Linked DNA regions of Macaca mulatta. The protein of the gene in region 3 interacts with the protein of the main gene of each other region in a pairwise test. Links are inferred from orthologs where the notes say so. Each region holds a gene or a part of one and is shown on either strand. Other genes may lie near its edges.

Region 1 (3,521 bases), on a different chromosome or scaffold from region 3:
TTTTTACCAGTCCAAATTTTAGTAAGTTTGAATCCATAATATAAAAATTATATTTTACATCAAGTTTTAGGTACCTCTTGGGTACAGAATTTATAAATCAATCATCAGTAATATTTTTATTAAACTACCAGTATGTATGATTCAAATTAGTCTTACATGACCAACCAGCAGGACCACTCCAGGAGACTATGACTTTGGTAAAGGGAAACGGAGTGAAAACTACTTCTGTCTGATGTTATAAAGTATAAATGATAAGTGATACAGAGCTGTCAGTCCACAGACTGAGTAGCACCGAGTTACACTTTTTCTAACAATTGGAAACATAGAATTAAAATAACTGAAAGATTGAATATGAAGTTTCGTGTTTTATTCACTAATTATTTATTGCTAATTCTTCAAAGTGACTTAACCTTGTTACTTGCTTTTTAAATGTACTTTATAGCTTGATTTTTTTTTTTTTTTTTTTTTTTTTGAGATGGAGTCTTGCTCAGTCACCCAGGCTGGAGTGCGGTGGCGCGATCTCGGCTCACTGCAAGTTCCGCCTCCCGGGTTCTCGCCATTCTCCTGCCTCAGCCTCCCGAGTAGCTGGGACTACAGGCGCCCGCCACTACGCCCGGCTAGTTTTTTGTATTTTTAGTAGAGACGGGGTTTCACCGTGTTAGACAGGATGGTCTCGATCTCCCGACCTCGTGTAGCTTGATTTTGCCTTCTTTTTAATGCTCTCATTCTTCTTTTCAATCTACAAAGCTCATTTTAACATAATCTTTATTTTTAAAGATGTTTTTGCAGCAATCAAATCCTGGGTTGAATTTTGGTTCTGTTCAACTTTCTTCTGGAAATTCATCTAACATCCAGCAACTTGCACCTATAAATATGCAAGGCCAAGTTGTTCCTACTAACCAGATTCAAAGTGGAATGAATACTGGACACATTGGCACAACTCAGCACATGATACAACAACAGACTTTACAGAGTAGTACATCAACTCAGGTAATGTTACTGAGCACAGCGGGCTATGGAGTGGTCAGTGTTTGGAATGCACACTATTGCTGAAACAGAAATAAAGCTCTAATGATAAAATATCATTTCAAAATTTAATCATATTTAGAAAGTACAGCATTGAAAGTGATCATGAAAATGTTTTGTGCTAATCATGTTAGTATCAAATATTTTCAGCTTTTTTTTTTTTTTTTTTTTTTGAGACAGAGTTTTCGTCCTGTTGCCCAGGCTGAAGTGCAATGGCATGATCTTAGCTCACTGAAACCTCTGCCTCCTGGGTTCAAGCGATTCTCCTGCCTCAACCTCCTGAATAGCTGGGATTACAGGCACCCGCCACCACGCCGGGCTAATTTTTGTATTTTTGTTAGAGATGGGGTTTCACCATGTTGGCCAGGCTGATCTCGAACTCCTGACCTCAGGTGATCGCCCACCTCAGCCTCCCAAAGTGCTGGGATTACAGGCATGAGCCACTGCACCCAGCCGAGCTTTAAAATATATCACAATCTGTTTAAAGATGTAGTCTAGTAATTATACCAAGTTACTATAACTTAGACTATTTCTGTATGTTAAAAAGGTATGACTTGCTCAAGAGGCTGACCAGGAAGCCTGCTGGTGCAGAATAGACTGTTGGGGGAGGGGGCAGTAATGGTTTATTGACTATTCCAGAAAATATTGGCAATTATTGTACATCTGTGACTGTAAATCCCAAGGATTTAAATGAAAAATAGCAAAATACCCACTAATTAGTTATTCACTTTGGGCATTTAACAGAAATTCTTCGGGTATATTTTATATCATCTCTATTATAGTCACACTTCTTTCTAAAGTCATAGCTTACCTTCCAGCAAGATATTCAAGACTAATTCATTCTCAATTACCATGAGTCATTCCTTTGTGGTTATATTTCTCCCAGAGTAATATATCCTGCCACTTCTTTCTCTGTCATATTGTCATATTGTTAGAATGATGAATTCTAGCATACTTCCCAAATGATTATTTTCAGTTAATCTGTCTATAAAATCTCTCTTTATTTTTAACAGAGTCAACAAAATGTACTGAGTGGGCACAGTCAGCAAACATCTCTACCCAGTCAGACACAGAGCACTCTTACAGCCCCACTGTATAACACTATGGTGATTTCTCAGCCTGCAGCCGGAAGCATGGTCCAGATTCCATCTAGTATGCCACAAAACAGCACCCAGAGTGCTGCAGTAACTACATTCACTCAGGACAGGCAGATAAGGTAGTTGTCATATTTCATTTGTTATTTTGAAAATTGTAAACCGATTAATTAGAAAACAATAATTTGATTTTTTAATCAAATTTTTTAATGTGACTTTAATGTGTTGCTCACTGCAGCCAGTGTTCTTAAATTTGAAATAAAAACACATAATTTATTCATTGTTTAAAGACTTCATAATTAAAGGGTAACAACAAATTTTGTTTCTTGTCCAAAAATATGCTGCAAGATATTATAGAATACAGATTCTACAGCACATTGTTAGAAAAGGTTTATGACAGGCTCTGTGTCACTGTGAAGCTTTTGTCTTTTCAATATAGATGCTAGAGAATGTCCATGTAGTAACAGTGGTTAGGGTAGCTTACCTTCTTTAAGTTTGTTAAATGCTCAAAATATGTTGTCTCAAATTGTCATTTATTAAAAGAAAATGTAAATGAGGGCCTTCTTTTATTTCCCAGATAAGAAAAAAGTGAATATTCAGTAATTAGCCAAGGGGTCTCTAGCTAGCTAAGGTGATGAGGGAGGGAGCTCTGAACACAGAACTTGGTGTCGTCATTTCAATGCTCAAGTGCTTAAACATTTATTGCAGAAAGGTTTTGTGGCCTGCTCTGGAAAAACAACCATCTATGACTTATTTTAGTGCACTGATCACGTGAGCAGTGCCCATTCTATCCAATATATAGTTTTTTTATCCCTCACCCCCACCATCCTCCTCCAAAGTCTATTATATCACTCTGTATGCCTTTGCTGTACCCATAGCTTAGCTCCCACTTACCAGTGAGAATATATAGTATTTGGTTTTCCATTTCTGAGTTACTTCACTTAGAATAATGGCCTCCACCTCCATCCAAGTTGCTGCAGAATGCATTATTTTATTCTTTTTTTATGGCTGAGTAGTAGTCCATGGTGTATACATACCACATTTTCTTCATCCACTCACTGGTTGATGGGCACTTAGGTTGATTTCATATCTTTGGAATTGTGAATTGTACTGCGATAAACATATGTATGCAGGTGTCTTTTTGATACAATGACTTCTTTTCCTTTGGGTAGATACCCAGTAGTGGGATTGCTGGATCAAATGGTAGATCTACTTTTACTTCTTTGAGAAATCTCACATTCCCACCAGCAGTGTGTATTGTTTTTTGACTTTTTAATAATGGCCAGTCTGGCTGGGGTAAGGTGATATTTAACTGTGGTTTTAAGTTGCGTTTCCCTGAACATCTATCTATGGAGGAGGACAGAAACCACATCTTAGTAAACATTTGAAGGCCTACCTAGA
Region 2 (3,521 bases), on a different chromosome or scaffold from region 3:
TCACTCTGTTCTGCACCTCTGGGCTTCACTGTCTCCAAACCACTCTGTATGCCATTGCCAGACTAATCTCCCCAAAGCAGTGCTTTGAGATGTACTCCTCTGATCACATTTGCTTGACACATGAGGCCCCTCCAGGACACTGGGCCTGTCTCACCAGCCCAATCTCTGAGACTGGAAGATGGATTCTCCTCTTGAGCCAGATGGGCCTCTCTTCAGTCTAGGAGGGAGCTTGCTCCAGGGGTTTTCCAGTGCTCACACAATCCCATCTGGTTCAGAAGGCCCTTCTTTCATTCCACAGAGTGAAATCTGTTTTTCTAAGTCTCTGCAAATCTTCTTTGGAACAGTTAGTTGTCTGTGATCACCCCAAAGTGACCCCCTCGTCCTCTGACCCTTAGAGCTCGTCCCATCTACACTTTTCCTTGGAAGCCCAGCTATGACACCCTTGAACTTTTACTTAGCTTTGCATCTCTGAGTGCTATATATTCCTCACCCGGGATCTGAGCAATTTGAGGGTAGTGCATGTCTTGGAGCAGAAAGAAGAAAGAATTTACTGTTGTTATAGTTTTAGGCACTTTACATACTTATCTAATCCTTACAATTCAGAGGTGGAAATTGTTATTCCCATTTAGCTGATGAGGAAAGTGATATCCAGAGAGGTTGTTCCTTATTCAGAGTCATAGCCTAATAGGAGGGTGATCTAGGAAGAGAACCTGTGTTTAACTCCAAAGCCTATGAATGGTTGAGTGTGGCTTCTGGATTCAGCTGTCAAAGCTTGCTAACTTTGCAATCTTTATACCTTTGGACAAATGGCTTAACCTCTGTACACTTCATCTGTAAAATGAGATTAAGAATAGTATCTACCTCGTAGGTCACTGTGAAGATTACATAGCATGCTTAGTGCAGTACCTTTCATGTTGTGATTGCAGTATATATTAGCAGCTAAAATTTGTTCCTGCTTCTATGAGTACCGTTATATTCAGGCATACTTTGATTGATGTTTGCACTGGATAAATACAAATTTTCATAAGTAAATGTCTTTGGAGATAAATAATGAACTAGGAGAAAAGGGCTGAAATGAAGTCGGTGGTCTGTGTATAACCACCAAAGACCTGGGGCCCAAGAGGTGTTTTTGGTCTGGGACAAGAGCCGAGTCTACAGGCTGTACAGGTGGTTGCTGGGGGCAGCCTAGGAAAACTTCCACCCCGAACCACTCACACAGCAGCTCCTACTGCTCCCGTTGCTAGTGCCAGAAGTACTGTTGTCACAACAAGCACACTGTCCTCACAGCCCCTGTCAGGGTGTCCTCTGTGCAGTGGTGCTCATCCAGTGCCTGCTGCCGGGCTGGGGCAGACATTCAGATGGTCGGCAGTGCGCGTTTCCAGAAGAGTCCACCCGATGCCTTTGCGCCATCCCTGGCAAATGCCTATCTGTGCCAGTCACATCTGTTTTCACTCCACATTCATGTAACTGTCCCGCCCCCCTCTCTTTCCAGTTTGCTCTGAAAATGAGTCTGAAGCTGAAGCTGACCAGCAGATGGACAACTTGTACCTGAAAGCCTTGGAGGGTTTCATTGCCGTGGTGACCCAAGATGGCGACATGATCTTTCTGTCAGAAAACATCAGCAAGTTCATGGGACTTACACAGGTGACACCCCCCTCTATCTCTTTCAAAAGAAGAAATGTTTCCATTTGGGGGTAGAAATGAGTAGAAGGTGCTAGCCACAATCCCACTTGACCTTTCCCTGTAAATGGCCACTGTGACCCTCGCTGACCTCAGGCCACATGCCTCAGGCCACAGTCCCACCCCCAGGCATTGGGTTTGGCTTTGCTTATGTCCATCCTGGCAGACAGCTCTCTACTGACTCATTAACAGACTCTGTCATCAGTAATCCCCCATTACATCTTTCTGTCTGTGGACCTGACACTGGACTGGGATTATGAGAAAACCCAATTCAATCTCCTCCCTGCCTCCAAATCTGGAAGGTGGCTCAGCTTCCTCTTGGAGTCTTTTACTTCACTGTTAGGAATAATGATGCCTAACCTTGTTTTTGAAACAGGTGGAGCTAACAGGACATAGTATCTTTGACTTCACTCATCCCTGCGACCACGAGGAGATTCGTGAGAACCTGAGTCTCAAAAATGGTATCCTTAATTGTGTTTATTTCCTTCTTGCCCCCACTGGGTGGGAATCTGCCTCCCCTTTGTCTACAAGTATAAGGGAGATAGCTCATGGCCTTGCAATGCAGGAAAAATGGATGTCCTTAAAAAATTTAGCTAGGCTGGCCCTCCGTTTAAGTGTGTAGCCTGTGAGATGAGATTGGGGCATTGAGAGGACCCGGTACTCAGAAGTATCTCCTGCTGGCCCCACATGATGCCTGGTGTCCCACTACTAGGGGACTCTTTTGGGTTAGGACACTGTCTCTAGGAGGTTTCATCACCCAAGAGTCAAGCATCTCTGCCAAATGACACCACCCAAACCAGTGAGAAACCAGTCTGTGCCAAAGTGCTTATAGGAACTACTGTAGTTATCTATTGCTGTGGAACAAACCACCTAAAACATAGGGCTTTGATGATTATCTCCCAGCGTTCTGTGGGTTCAGTGGGTGGGTCTTATACTCCATGTGATGTCAGTGGGGCTGCAGTCATCTGGGGGCCAGACTAGGCTGGGGTGATCAGGATAGCTCACACATGTCTGGGACCTTGTGTCAGGTGGCTGGAACCCTGGATTCAGCTGGCATGCTGGGACAATGGGACTGTTCTGTCACTCCATGGAGTCTCAGAGACTCTCCCTCTCCATACGGTGTCTCTAGGGTAGCCAGACATGTGGCAGCTCAGGGCTCCCAGAAGCACTAAGGTGGAAGTTGCCAGGCCTTCCCAAGGTTTTGTCCTCAAATTAGCAGAGCATCACTTCTGCCCCATGTTGTTGGTTAGAGCATGTTACAGGACAGCCCTGGCTCATTGTGGGAGGAAACTACACAAAGCCATGAGTGTCAAAAGGCATGGCTTGTTGGAGCTACTTTTGGAGATGAGCTACCACAGGAAATGGTACCCTGATGAGACATAGGTCAAGTAGGTTTTGACGGAGAAGAGATTTAAAAAGATCTAGCGTACAGGACCTTACCCATGGGGATACCCAGCAGGTGCCAGTGGATGAGAGGACCCACACAGGCAGAAAGCACGTTGCAATGGCAGTGGAGCTTCCTCTCTCGTAACTGTGGCCATTCAACAAAGGCATGAATAGGGACATTGTTAAGAGGACTGAAGCTTTGGGCAGAAGTGGGGCTTAATGACTGTCAAGGTCCCTTCCAAACCTGAGATTCTGTCACTGGTCTGGGCAGATTCTGTGCATGTCTAGATGTCCTCTTTAATAATATCACCTGTCACTGCCATGGGGCTTATGCTTGTCCAACCTGAATAACAGAGGCAGTGAGGCTAAGCCTACAAGGGTTGGCTCTTATTACCACACATGCTGCAAAAGCAGATACTTCATTGGCTCACCTCCACCCTGTTACAGACTGAGCC
Region 3 (3,521 bases):
TCTTGGCTGTCTGTAGTATATGAGGGCCATCTCACATAAGGTCCACTACAGGAGTACTTGTCTGCCTGCTCCCTAGTGTGTCCTTTGCATTTGGCATAGTACCCAGCACATAGTAGGCACTCAATAAACTGTTCATTCACCAACATCTACTGTTGTCACACAATGATCTCAGGTTTATCCCAATCATTTTCCCCTCAGCACAGCCAATGTGCAGGGGTCTTTTTAGAAATAAGACTGTGAAAGAAGCTAGAAGAAAATACAACTTGGGGAGGAATCTTTAGTCCCATTACTGGGTATACACCCAAAGAAAAACAGATCATTCTACTGAAAAGACATATGCACTTGTATGTTCATTGCACCACTGTTCACAATAGCAAATACATGAAATCTGCCTAGGTGCCCATCCATGGTGGATTAAAGAAAAGTGGGCTACATATAAAGCATGGAATACTACACAGCCATAAAAAAGAATGAAATCATGTCCTTTGTAGCAATGTGGATAGAGCTGGAGGCTATAATCTGAGTGAATTAATGCAAGAACAGAAAACCAAATACCACATGTCCTCACTTATAACTAGGAGCTAAACATTGAGCATATAAGGACATAAACATGGGAACAACAGACACTGTGAACTATTAGGGGGGAAGGGAGGGAAGGGTGTGAGGGTTGAAAAACTATCTACTGGGTACTATGCTCACTACCTTAGTGCAATATACCCATGCAACAAGACTGCACATGTAGTCCCTGTATCTAAAATAAATGTTGAAAAATTTTTTAAAAAGAATAGTATTTTCATGAGGACTAAAACACTTACTTAGCACAGTATCTGGCACGGGGTAAGTGTTAAATAAATGAGTATTAGCAATTATCATTTTAGGTGTTTGTCAAAAAACATTCTGACCAAAACTTGTAAATAAATTGAATTTTGTGGCTCCATATAAATATCCTTTTAAAGGATAGGAAAGCAAATCCCATGTTGAAATTTGCCTACGAAATCCTATATCTAATAGCTTAATATGCTCTTAGGCAAAAAAGTCATGAGACATTTTGTAGTCCCCGAAATTTCCCAATTAAGTTAAATAGATGACTATTTAATCAATTCAAAAAGTAAATATCTGCAAGACAAATCTAGCAAAGGATCATAAGAAAACAAATTTACCAAAGAATCAATATCTCATAAAAAATTAAAATCACACCTGGAACATCTTAAGAAACTTTCACCAAAATTAGATCAGGCTCTTGTACTACTGACTTTTTTATTTTAACATCTAACTTTTATATTTTAAAGAGTAATAATGAAGTTTCATAGCAAAAGTTTTATTTCTATCTCTTGTGATTTTTTCCCATTTGATAGGCCCCAAACTACAATTTCAATAATACCATTAAAATCTTGGGTAACAAAGACAATATGTAATTACCTGATAAATTCGAAAGATATGATGAACCAATCTAAGTAATTTTGGTTTAAAAAAAATCTTATTTTTAAGATGCTTTTGGATTCAAATATTTCCCTTGACCATATATTTTATTTTTTCTGTACAGAAAATATTTAGGACATTAATTTTATATCCACTCTTTGCATCACTTGACATTTCAAAATGATACCTTTCTTCTTTGGGTTGGGTAAGCATTCATGCTCTTCTTTGACAGAGATTTTACAACTCTTTATCCGACAGAAAAAAGATCGTCTTGAGCCAGAATAAACATGTGTCCTTCCAGTATGGAAATTACTGTGAACTTGCAAACCAGCTTTTGTAGCAGAAGGGGGTGAGAGAACAGGTGGAAAAGAATATTGTCAAATAATTTTGAAATTTATCTTCCAACATTTTCTGATCATCTATTATTGAGAAAGGAAATAGTTTTTTAAAGCAATGGCATGATTGTACAGTAAACCCTAAAGTGAAACACACCCAAAAAATGTATTTGTCAAGCAATCACATTTTGATAACTTATAGACATTTGCAATTTATCTTTCTTTTTTCCCCAAATGGGGAAGAACAAAGTTAATTTAAGTGAAATGAAATAAAAATTAAATGAAAAAAATGAAAAAAACCTCAACTATTACAGGAATCAATTGTTTTATATTTCATATAATTATTTGGTACTAGGCATTTTCAGAGAAGAAAAAATACTTACACTTCCCAAACGCAATTATACAAGGTCTTTCATACAGAAAAGACCTAATCCATATACAAGAGGATAATTGTCTTTTAGCATGTAGCTAAATAATGGGAACTTCAGCAATTTTTTATCCAAAATGACACTTTCTTGTAAGGATTTTATTTGTATATGAAAAATAGCGGCCGGGCGCGGTGGCTCAAGCCTGTAATCCCAGCACTTTGGGAGGCCGAGGTGGGTGGATCACGAGGTCAGGAGATCGAGACCATCCTGGCTAACATGGTGAAACCCCGTCTCTACTAAAAATACGAAAAATAGCAAATATGAAGGAATCATATTTTCCCCAAACAAAGCATCTTCATATGAATGCATTTGTGTTTGTATATGTCTGTATGAATACAGGAATTTTCTATATAGCTATATATATTAACTATGATGTAAAGTTTACAAAATAATTCTCGTTTGGTAAAAGCTTAGTTAGCTGTATTAAAAACACCGTGTAGCTAAACTTTTAGGTGATCATTACATTTACATAAAATAATAAGCATGCAGAAATGGACACTTACTTTTGGCATCTATTAGCTTTTCTCTTGGTGAAATATCAAAAGAAGAAAGTTGTTCCTTTACTTTGGCAACATCTTTTGGATGCAAGAAGTCAAATAAGCTTTGTCCAGTCAAACTAGCCTATTCATAAGGTAGACATTCACTTAAAATCAGTACCATGCTTTTTCTACATTTCTTGATGCATACAATAAATGTCCTTTTTTGTTAAAGGTTGATTTTTCTCAAGCTCAAAGATACGTTCACGACACTATGTGACATGAGCTTAGTGTTCAAAGTGGGGTGATACTTGTAGACAGAAAAAAATACATGCATATAGAACCATCCCTGGATATACACAAACCATATACAAACACTAATTGCTAGTATTCCGCTACATCTTGTAACTCTTGTTAACATGATACTTGTAAATGATTGTGATTTATTTTGAACTTTTTTGTCCTTGTTAAAAAAAAGAGATTACATGATAGTATAATATAGAAATCACAGAATATCTGTGACTTTATCAGACATTTACCATACTGTTTAAAAAATTACCATACTATTGATAAGTAAAATCCAACCCAGAATACCTCTCACTTCCCATTCCACCACTCCCAATATGCACAGCATCCCCAGGTCTATGCCTTTGCTGATACAGTCCCATTCCTCAGAACTCACCACCCCTACCCTATCCCTTGGCCACTCCAGCCAAATTGCCTTTGACTCCCTAGACTTCGGGACTCCCTTCTTTCTCCCAGCCTGAAATGTTTCCTCCCCTTCTCTACATCTCGCTTCTGCCAAGCCTCGCAGACATCCTACTTCATGTGTGATGCCTTCCCTGACCCATAGTGGCCACCCC
Region 4 (2,697 bases), on a different chromosome or scaffold from region 3:
TCCCCACCACAGCACTCCCACTCTTCCCAAATCCGAGCCTGACTGCACTCTGTGCTAACCCACCTTCTGCACCCCACCCCGAGGCCCCTAAGGGCAGTGAGTGGGCCGAAGAGCTCTCTGTATTCATAGCCTGCATCTTGTATGCAACAGGTGCGTGCAAACTTGTCTGTTGCTCATTTCCCATCCAAAATCACTTCTGGGTCTCGAGAACTGACAAGATCTGCAAAGCCAAAGTCTGAGCTGACTCCCACTATGCGTGGGGTCAGGGAGATCCGAAAATTACAGCACAGATGGCTTAGCAGCATTGGAATTAAACTACATTCTAGAACTTCAAGGACAGCTATCTTCATCGCTATCTACAGTACTCAAGAGGACTCAGCCTCTGCTCATTCTCCATGGCTTTGCAGGTGCAGGTGGAGCTGCAGGCCAGGGAGGAAGCCCCCTAGGACACAGAAGGGCTGGGTGAAAAGGGGCACCCTGCACATGGGCAAGGGAAGGCCAGGCCCTTCTGGAGCTTGGCAGACGCAGACGTGTGGCTCCCAAGTGAACCTCCCAACCAGTGGCTCTCACCCTCCCTGCTTTTGGCATACTTGGCACTTGCCTGAAGTGATTTTTGCCTTCTAAGTAGTGACCACATGTAAATGAGCTCCAAATTTTCCTGGCAAGCCCAATTTCACACATCACTGTATTTACTAAGGCAGGTTAGTGGATCTTTAACTAAATGTGATTTAACTTTATGTTTATATAGGACTTTATAAACACACTGAAAAGTCCAACATAGTCATCAATGTTTTTTGACTTCTGCTCTAAAAACTATGAACATGTCTAGATGCAAATCCTTGAGTAAAAACTACTTTTTTAAAAAGGAACCTTTTCAGCACATAATCACATAAGGCATAATAGCCGACTCGTAATTTCACATACTCCATAGATATAGACTTCATAACCTTTAAGCATGAAAAACAATCAAATGAGAATCTTTCTGGGGCTTACTTCTATACTAGGGATAGAACAACCTTGAAAGCAAGGGAATAAAATATCTTTGAGACTCGGGGTACGGAGTGTGGCCCGGCTCCCAGGCCTGCACGGGGGCCCCCTGGGCTTTGGCACCCACCTGCAGGTAGTGCTGTGGTGGCTGCTGCCGGGCCTGTGCAGGCTGCAGGGGTGACGGTTGGGAGGCGGGGAAGCTGGGGTGGAGCACTGCCTGCCCCATCAGCAGGACGGGCATCGGGGTGCTGCTGCTGTTGACAGGGTGTGCATCTGGATTTGGAAAGACGGTCTGGCTCTGTGCGTACCTGTTTCACGTGGGAAGGAGAAAACAGGTCCTTTAAGAAAGCAGTATTGATATGACACCCAAAGCATGAGCAACAAAGAAAAAAACAAGTAAGTTGGACTTCATAGAAACTTTTGGCCAGGCACAGTGGTTCATGTCTGTAATCCCAGCACTTTGGGAGGCTGAGGCGGGAAGATCACAAGGTCAGGAGATCAAGACCAGCCTGACCAATATGGTGAAACACCGTCTCTACTAAAAATACAAAAATTAGCCAGGTGTGGTGGGTGTCTGTAGTCCCAGCTACTTGGGAGGCTGAGGCAAGAGAATAGCTTGAACCCGGGAGGTGGAGGTTGTGGTGAGCAGAGATCATGCCACAGCACTCCAGCCTGGGCAACAGAGTGAGACTCCATCTTAAAGAAAAAAAAAAGAAACTTTTTTGCATCAAAAGACACTATCAACACTATCAACAGAGGGAAGAGGCAGCCCACGGGGTGGGGGAAGACATTTGCATATCACATATCTAATAAGAGACGGATACCACAATATATAAAGAATGCCTACAACTGCACAACAAGAAACCCAAACAACCCAATCAAAAAACGGGCATGGGGCTGACATTTCTCCAAAGAGAAGCTAGAAATGGCCAACACACACATGAAAACATGCTCAGCATCACTAGCCATTAGGGCAAAGCAGATCAAAACCAAAATGAAATGTCCCTTCACACTCATTACAATGGTGATTATCAAAAAACCAGGAAGTAACAGGTGTTGCTGAGGATGCAGAGACATTGGAACTTTAGTGCTCTGTTACTGGGAATTGTCAAATGCTGCAGCCACTGTGTTAAATGTTGGCTCTGTGTCCCCACCCAAATCTCATGTTGAATTGTAATCCCTAGTGTTGGAGGTGTGGCCTGATGGGAGGTGATTGATCGTGGGTGGGGACTTCCCCCTTGCTGTTCTTGTGACAGAGTTCTCCCTAGATCTGTTTGTTTAAAAGTGCGTAGCCCCTCCCCCTCTTTCTCTCTCTCCTCCCGGTCATGTGAAGTTGTGCTTGCTTCCTCTTCACCTTCTGCCACGATTGTAAGTTTCCTGAGGCTTCCCAGAAGCAGAAGCCTGTACAGCCTGCACAATGGTGAACGAATTAAACCTCTTTTCTTTATACATTACTCAGGCTCATGCATGTCTTTATAGCAGTGTGAGAATGGACTAATATGAATGTATGGTAATTCTTCAAAAAAATTAAACACACACAATGACCATTCTACCATATGATCCTGCAATTCCACTTCTGGGTATATACCCAAAAGAAGTAAAAGCAGGAACCTGAAAAAGATAATTGTACATCCATGGATGTGTATAATCATATTTTGGTTTATTGTGAATAAACCACTATATAATAAACAATTATTATAAACCATTATT

Evidence for each region. The genes of interacting proteins can lie anywhere in the genome.
Region 1: the proteins of ARNTL2 (region 3) and CLOCK interact in binary tests that used the Homo sapiens proteins (3 or more experiments, as listed by UniProt). The link is inferred for Macaca mulatta from reciprocal best matches to the Homo sapiens genes BMAL2 and CLOCK.
Region 2: the proteins of ARNTL2 (region 3) and EPAS1 interact in binary tests that used the Homo sapiens proteins (3 or more experiments, as listed by UniProt). The link is inferred for Macaca mulatta from reciprocal best matches to the Homo sapiens genes BMAL2 and EPAS1.
Region 4: the proteins of ARNTL2 (region 3) and NPAS2 interact in binary tests that used the Homo sapiens proteins (3 or more experiments, as listed by UniProt). The link is inferred for Macaca mulatta from reciprocal best matches to the Homo sapiens genes BMAL2 and NPAS2.

Annotation. Positions count from the first base shown.
Region 1 is NC_133410.1:78,053,812-78,057,332, forward strand, and holds part of CLOCK (circadian locomoter output cycles protein kaput), read left to right. Parts: intron 1-777; coding exon 778-990; intron 991-2,039; coding exon 2,040-2,242; intron 2,243-3,521. UniProt on the Homo sapiens protein: Transcriptional activator which forms a core component of the circadian clock.
Region 2 is NC_133418.1:78,484,885-78,488,405, reverse strand, and holds part of EPAS1 (endothelial PAS domain-containing protein 1), read left to right. Parts: intron 1-1,492; coding exon 1,493-1,644; intron 1,645-2,056; coding exon 2,057-2,141; intron 2,142-3,521.
Region 3 is NC_133416.1:29,749,626-29,753,146, reverse strand, and holds part of ARNTL2 (basic helix-loop-helix ARNT-like protein 2), read right to left. Parts: intron 2,804-3,521; coding exon 2,686-2,803; intron 1,751-2,685; coding exon 1,607-1,750; intron 1-1,606. UniProt on the Homo sapiens protein: Transcriptional activator which forms a core component of the circadian clock.
Region 4 is NC_133418.1:9,141,441-9,144,137, reverse strand, and holds part of NPAS2 (neuronal PAS domain-containing protein 2), read right to left. Parts: intron 2,442-2,697; exon of another isoform or gene 1,296-2,441; coding exon 1,115-1,295; exon of another isoform or gene 1-1,114. UniProt on the Homo sapiens protein: Transcriptional activator which forms a core component of the circadian clock.